Nothobranchius furzeri: one gene and its partner. The protein of the gene in region 1 interacts with the protein of each later gene in a pairwise test. Links are inferred from orthologs where the notes say so. Each region holds a gene or a part of one and is shown on either strand. Other genes may lie near its edges.

What was found.
Region 2: the proteins of efhc1 (region 1) and kctd4 interact in binary tests that used the Homo sapiens proteins (3 or more experiments, as listed by UniProt). The two-hybrid records come from large-scale screens. The link is inferred for Nothobranchius furzeri from reciprocal best matches to the Homo sapiens genes EFHC1 and KCTD4.

Annotation. Positions count from the first base shown.
Region 1 is NC_091742.1:6,295,551-6,299,830, forward strand, and holds the start of efhc1 (EF-hand domain-containing protein 1), read right to left. Parts: upstream 2,913-4,280; 5' UTR 2,771-2,912; coding exon 2,705-2,770; intron 1,625-2,704; coding exon 1,403-1,624; intron 1,324-1,402; coding exon 1,036-1,323; intron 931-1,035; coding exon 781-930; intron 1-780. UniProt on the Homo sapiens protein: Microtubule inner protein (MIP) part of the dynein-decorated doublet microtubules (DMTs) in cilia axoneme, which is required for motile cilia beating.
Region 2 is NC_091754.1:10,968,266-10,972,050, reverse strand, and holds kctd4 (BTB/POZ domain-containing protein KCTD4), read right to left. Parts: upstream 2,314-3,785; 5' UTR 1,962-2,313; coding exon 1,185-1,961; 3' UTR 611-1,184; downstream 1-610.

The DNA.
Region 1 (4,280 bases):
GGGGGCAGAGTAGCAGGAAACTGTTCTGTCTCACTTGAAATTATTCTTTTAATTGGCTAATGTCAACCTAGAATTAAAAAAATGTACCTAGTCTTTTTCATTATGGTTTCAAACAACTATTAAAAAAATACAGTTGCACATGTTGCCTACAACACAGAGCTTCAACCAGAGGGCAGAAGAAATGTACAGGATTCAGGTTTTTGAGGAAAGTACAAATCCTGTTAAAGCTCTTAAAAACAGATTTGTCAAATATTAAACATTTGGTATTAATGGGATGTTACATATATGTCAAAGTGGACTATGTTACACAGTTTCAAACCTCAGCAACAGTATCAAATCAACATAACGGCATTAATTAGGCAGAAATATTTAAAAAAAATGTTTAAAATATTATACAAAATTGAACTGTAACTAAGTATAAAATTGTATGGCAATGTGGAGGTTTATAAAATAATAAATGGTTGACATTTTGGAGTCTTTTTTTTACTTTTTAGTTGCTGAAATAAAGTGATTATAGTTAATCTGGATATAGGTTTTGTTGCAGGTAAGTAGTCTTAAATGTTCTTTAATGAGATGTCCTTTGGAACATACTACGATTGTACTTGCAACAGCCAGTATAAATCCATAAAATATACAAAACATTAACAAGTAACAATCCTGCACAAAATAGCATTCTTGTTATGTGCCTGTTCTCCTCCAACTGCATGTTAAAGTTGTAAAGGTCACCAGATGTGCTCGTTTTATTGCTGCAGTGACTTGGAAACAAGGACTTTCCTTTACCTTAAGGTCCATGGTAAGAAACCGGTGAGTTATGTCGGGTGTGGGTGAAGTGATACGGGGCGGTGGTGAGAGTTGACGATGTTTGATGTAAGGATCCTCAGGCATCGGCTCAGGCTCATTCAGAACTATACCCTCATGTTCCATGAAGTCCTGTTGAGTGAATGAAAAGCCTCAAACCAAAAGACTAGTTGCAGAAGCGGCTCACACACAACACTTGTTTCATAGGGATGATAACAGGAATCAGGAGTGATGTACCTTTGTGAATGTATCACAGTGAGTAAGATGGTACTTGTATCCATACACTTCCAGGTCTATACCAAGGTTGAAGTCTTTCCAGTGGTAATAGTCTCCACGGTCATTCTTTGGCACCCGATGGCGTTTGAGCCGCTTCCCCTGTGATATCCCAGAGTTCATCACTGCGGACTCCCAGATGCACATGCTGTCATCCTCGAGATAGTAATAAATGACCACATGGCGTATACGGTGATCCTCGTCAGGTGAATTCCAGACATCCTCCAAGAAGTATGCAAAGAAACAAAGTACCTAGAATACAAGCAGATGGTTGTCAACAGTAATTTACATTTTATGGATAAATGATCATATCAGATTTTCTAGGTTCAACCTTTTTGTCGAATTTCACATAAGCTGGGATGAAGTCTTCGTATACTGTCTTGTCATCAAAGTGATATGTAAGGTCTGGTTTCTCAAAGGACAGCTCACTGATCTCCTGTTGGGACAGCTGCTCTGATACTAGAGGCTCCTGACCAATGCCAGCGGATGGGCGACGAGGCAAAGCAAAGCCGTTCTTATAGATCAGAGTCTGGGGTAGGTGGAAGGAGGACTTCTGTCGAAACAAATACTTTATTGTGGACTTAAATCACACCAGAAATTATGAAGTCATGTACACGAAACTTCACAATGTAGCATGACGCTTGTAGATGCAAAGTACATAGAATAAAAATATGACACTGGTGTATTTCCATGTAATTTTCTGTAATAAGTTGGTTAGTTTGAGTGATCCAGCACCAAAAGGTGTTATAGGTTTCGATTTACCAATTTTCCAATCACTAGCAGCTGTGAATAATAACTAAACTCTGTGTTCTTTAAAGAGTCACAGGCTCACAACGGCATTGTGACATCATATTGTACCAGCTAACACCATAGGGTATCTCTTAGCCAATGGCGATGACAGATTTAAATTCAAATGCAGTGCAGAATTTTCAGCTGAAGAGAGCACAACACTGATAGTTTTAGGCAGAAAATTAAAAATTTAACTAAAGTGCAAGACTATTGTCTACATGTGTCTGCAGCTCGATTACGCACATTTATATAGTTTATCAGAAAAAAAAGTTGATTTGGGGATGACTTGCTCTTTAAATGAACACTGGTCTAGAAAAGTTGTATTCTTATATAGTGTATAAGGTTTTTCATTCATTGCAAGCCAACTTGCACAAGGATTAATGATCAGTTTTGCTGATGTTGGTTTTACAGAACAGATGGTAAAATCCCCGCAGTTGAGAAAAATCTCATAGTAAAAGAGTATTTTAGCCGTCTTCTGCAAAAATGTGCTGTTACTAGACATTTCACACTAAAGCTTTATATTAACAAATAAGATGAATAAATTACAGATGTGAATAATTTGTGTAACAGTTCTTCTAAATGTTATCAGAACTTTTTTATGGAGCTGAAAGCATTCAACAATGTTTAAATATGTTTATCAATTATGACTAATTAGTAATTTCTTTTTTCCACAAATGCCTGAGGAATTATAGCAATGACATTTCTATTACAGAAATAAAAAGTAAAGGAATAATGAAAAACAGCAAAAGCCTGCAAAATGCTAACTTTAGTGTTTGTTTACCGGTCATTTACATCAAGAATTCTGTTTTGCTAGCTAGCTTTAGCTTCAGGTGTGTCAGTTTACCCTTTCCTCTCTAAACGAGTATCCTGGTAAAAATGGTATCCCATAGTTATTCCAGTTAAAAGCCATTTTCCCGGGAAGCAGTTTTCTAAATTATTGTCTCTAAAACAATTTGAGTCTCCTGAAGAGCTTCTCGAAATACAAAGCCACACGACAACGATTGAGGTTAGTTTGTAGTTTCCATGGAAACGATAAAACAGTAACAATTTCTAAAATTAAATACAGAAAAATAAAACTTCCGTCATAAAAAATGAGACAAATCAAATTTTACGATAAAAATGAACAGGAATAATAAAAAGAAATTAGAAATAAAATGATTTCTTAATTCTTTATATATTTTCTAATTCGTAAATAGCAAAACCCTCATGTGGCCACCAGGGGGCAACATTGCTCATTAAATCCTGCCGACTCTCCCTAACTTGGGTAACAAAGTTTGCTCTTATTTGCGTGACTACCTATCATTTGATTTGATTTGTTTCTGTGCTATGAGAAAAGGATTGTGCAGATAAAGCTGTGAAAATTAAAATTTCCAAGGAAAAACAACAGCAGTTTAAATTTGAACAGTTTATTCCAAGCACAGGAGTCTTACATTGTTATTAGCACATGTGAAATTCCTCCAAGTCTAGACAAGAAGATGGGAAACTTAATGCTTTAAAATGTTCCATTAAGACAATGAAAGCCTTTAAATGAATCTGACTATAGCTTATGTTATTAAACTGGTACTTGCACGTTTCATCTTCAGTGCTGGTTCCTTCTTCAGATGGCAGCAAGCAGTGATCACCATGAGCATCTGTTCAGCACTGACAGCTATGGAATTAGGCCGTGGTTTGTTGGAGCCCTGAAGTTCACACAATCTTTGATCATCAAAGACTAGAAAAAGTAATTTCAAGCAAAACCACATTTACAAATTTGGCATATTCTTGCAATTTTACAGAGTAGATGGCAAGTGCAATATTCAATAGAAACATTGAGGTTTTACACAAGCTCCACCTTTTCCATAGCAAAATGGTTGTATAAATAGAAATAGAAATGTGATTTCAGTTAAAAAAACACTAGTTATGGGTGACAACTATGACTTAATGGCTAAAAAAAGGCACTGCACTGTGAATTTCTGTATCAAAAATAACTATAAATCACTAAAATCCTCTTTGAGGCCTTTTACATCATATTTCAAAATTTCCTTAAATGCTGAAAAACCTATTTAATTGAGCCGATCATGGCTCGATGAGCACATCATCCAAACAGAAATACTAGGATTGCATCCCTGAGGTGCCAGGCAGCCTTTGCCACGTATAAAAATATCTCATAATTAAGCATACTTAAAACAAAGTAAACATAGATAAACTATTAAATATTATAAAATATTTTTCATAAGGGTTGAGATGAATCCCCTGCACACGTGTAGAAAAACTAAAATCTTTTGGTTTTATTAAGCTCAAAATGCAGCATGGTTATTCTCTGTGGAATGATTGTCCTACATCGACCCATTGTCAAGCATGTTTCATTCAAAATGCCCATCTGGTAAAGCACACGCTGAATACTGGAAAGTACTGAGCATAAAGCTCCAAGTGTAGCAGTT
Region 2 (3,785 bases), on another chromosome or scaffold:
TGACGATTATGGCTGAAAACCCCACATTCACAATCTCAGATAATTAGAAAATTGTGAAAAGGCTCAGTATTCTAGACTCCATGTCAGCTGGATTACTGACATAAATGAGTCTTTGCACCATATTGTCGTTTTTCCAGTTTCACCTCTACATCCCAACCTGGAGCCAGTCATGGAATTTTCTATGTAACGTCCAACACCATGTTTGCTTTGATTTGAATCGAGTGTATGGTATTTTTCAGGTTATTTTCCAGTTGTAGGAGCAGACATACAAAGCGTTATTACAGCGTTATACACAGTATATTTATGTGCACCAAACAGTTGTGTAAAATGTTTTGATTTGAAACTATTGGTGCAGACTGGAAGGAAACCAAGAAAAGGACACCCTCTGCTGTTCAGATGAGTTTAATGTACCCTACACTCTGTGTGGCTTTCTGCTCCAAATGGGAAAGAAGAGAGTTTTTACCATCAGACTTATTAATTAGCTGTGAGTGAGTGTCTAGTTGGTTCATGGCTCTCTTTTGTAAACAAGATGAAGCTGCAGTGTTGCTCAGTTGGTAGCAGTTACAGAACTCTCTGATGTGCTAGTTATCAGATAAAAAACACACGAAAATAAGAGTTTGATTGTTTTATTTGTAAAATATTCACATTTAAAATAGTTGTGACACCATCTGCACAGAGGCTCACAGCGCTGACAAACACACGGTTTATTCAGTGCACATGCATCATGCTGGGTGCAAAGCCCTTTACAATAACCACGGCTCTCTGGTGAAGCTCGACTTTCCGAATCAACCTTCGGGCTTCAAATGGCTAACAAGCTAAACATGAGCTATTACACCAATGCAGCGCAGCAACTCACACCCGCACTCATCAGCACACTCTACCTCTGTCTCTCTCTCACACGCACGCACGCACGCACACACGCACACACACACACACACACACACACACACACACACACACACACACACACACACACAGAGCAGAGTCGCTTTTTGTCATTCTGCTGTAAACAACCACTCTGAACTTTATTTATATGTCACCACTTTGCAGTAAAGACACAAACATTGTTGCTAGTCCACCCCACCTGTTCTCCATCTCCTACCAAACACGTCACAACATCTTAGTTTTACATCTGCAAGAGAATCAGGAGTTCCCTCCTTGCTGATCTACTTTTCCTTCTTGTTCTATTTGACAAAGTGCAGGGCCTCGGCCGCCACCACGGAGCCTTTGCTGCTGTCGAGGCTGGTTACCAACTTGAAGCCGGATTTTAAAGCTAGCATCACCGTTTCTAGTTTCAGACAGTCAAGCGTGCACAAGAAGGTGCTGTCCTCCTTCAGAACGAGCCGCGAGCCAGGCTCCGACTTGATGAAGTGGCGGAACTGGATCACGTTGGACGACACTACGAACTCTTCTGGAAAGCCATCCAGGCGGCTCTTGGAGATCTGCACCAGCCGTGCCTTCACCTTCTCTATGAAGGTGGCGTCGCTGCAGTACACCTTGAGGCCCTGGGACCTGTCGTGGCTATCTGTCACCTCCAAAAACGCGGGCTCTCGCTGCGCGGCTCGTTGGCTTTCCCATTCGATGACTGCTTCAACCAGTTCACTCAACCGGTAAAAGTCAGCTTCCCGCCGCAGAAGCCCCGCCTCCCGAAAGTCATCAGGTAGCTGCAGCTCTCCGGTTCTGAGATAGTTGAGAACATGACGAAAAACTGGGCCATCTCTGTCAATGAAGGGGTTACCCATAGAGTCGGTGTGCTGAACGGGCTTTTTACCATTGGCCAGCTCCTCCAGGAAGGACCCCAGGTGCTTGGAAAGGGTGGTCCGATGGGCGGTGTAAAGGAACCCCCCTACATTTAGGGTGATGGTACCTGAAGAGGGCTTCTTGAAGCTTTTGCTGGGCTGCAGCAGGTCTGGGTTGATGTGCCTCAATTCACTTTCCATCCTTCTGAGGTTCCATTCCATTCTCCAGTCACCCCCTCCAGCCTCAACCCAGCCTCCTCCTTAAAGCTGGCGTCCCTGCTCGTTTGGAATCGGGTCCGTGTTTTGTCTTCCCGGTTGAATGTTGGTCCTGCGGCGCAGCCGGGGGAGCGGAGCGTGTTGTCAGCTGTCGCGCAGTGAGAGGAGAGGAGTTTGAGGGAGTGTGGCGGCTGATGGGTGAGCGCTGTCTGGCAGAGGAGCTCCAGTGAGGTGGGAGCTGCAAACAGACTGGCTCTGTGTGCTGCTCCGTGTCCCTCCTCTCTCCCTCTGTCTCTCTTTAAGAGTGGGTGTGCAAACGGCGTCACACACAGGGAGAAGGATGTGAGCAAATAACAGAAGAGCGTGGATTCTTTCTGCCTTCTTGTCAGCTCTTTATTGTCTTTGGGGGCTTAAAAAAGAACGGCTGAATAAATACCTCTCACGCCAGATGGAGAGGGGGCTTTTATCGTTTTTGTGCTGTGAGGTTGTCAGACTTGTGCAAAGTCTGAATGCGGGACTCCTTTTTCAGCCAAACCCACTTGTTTATCACATTACTCAGTGAACCTGAATCTGTTTGAGTTGGACGCCAGATCAATGTCTCGAGGTTTGGCATTCTTTGGTTGTGAAGGGGAGAAGTGGGCAGCTTCAGCTCTTTTTATGCAAATCTCGTCTTCTCAAACGGTTCTGTTTTTAGTGAGCGCTGCCGTGCCGTGCGTCGACCGTGTGTTTTGTGTCTGAACGTAACAGACCAACTACGGCTGATTGCTGCCCGGTCACGGAGGACAGGCTTTTAATCAGTTATTGTTTACGTACTTACTGCAAACAGGTGTGTGTGTGTGTGTGTGTGTGTGTGTGTGTGTGTGTGTGTGTGTGTGTGTGTGTGTGTGTGTGTGTGTGTGTGTGTGTGTGTGTGTGTGTGTGTGTGTGTGTGTGTGTGTGTGTGTGTGTGTGTGTGTGTGTGTGTGTGTGTGTGTGTGTGTGTGTGTGTGTGTGTGTGTGTGTGTGTGTGTGTGTGTGTGTGTGTGTGTGTGTGTGTGTGTGTGTGTGTGATTTTAGTTTCAGACTGAGACAAGCTAGGGTTAGTCATTTTTTCATAAGTAACTTCTAGCTGCGATCATGACATTAAGCACCAACGACTCGAGCTGCAAGCTACATCCTGCGTTGTGTAAAACTTTCCTTTTTTTCTGTTTTCTTTTACTTCAGAAGATGAAGAGTTGTCTTGAAATTGTCCGACGTTCCTGCCGATGGCCTGCATCTATCTTCAGATTAGTTTCTGACCCAAAAAGCTGTTCTGCTGCAGGAAATGGTTTGTAACCTACTTTAGTCCTGGTTTTTATACCAGGGAGTTGATGTGCATCAATTTATCAGCACTTAAACACAACAGTTTGCCATTGCAAGGGAACTGAGATGTTTGAATACAGACATTAAAAAAACTTTATAAAATATCTGGAAGGATGCTTATGCAAGTATAGTCACAGCATCTCTGTGCATCTACTTGATATAAATGAATCTAGAGTCAAGTTTGTGCTAGGACTGCAGGACGCTTAAAAAGAAGATAATTATGTCCATCTGAATAGTTTTGTGAACAGATGGCAGGAGAAGACTTCAGCTGTTAGTCTGTTGCCTTCCCAAGTCCTAATCCAAACTTAACTAAAGCTCAAACGTGATTTTTTTCTGCACAGATTTAACTAAAGGGATCTTTGTGCAAAATAGCAGCACACATTTTGCTCTTTGTGTATATATTCCTGTAAAGAAAGTAGCTGTATTCATGGTGTTCACTTGCAGAGCACACTAATAAAGCAGCAGGGTGAAAGATTAAACACAGATGCT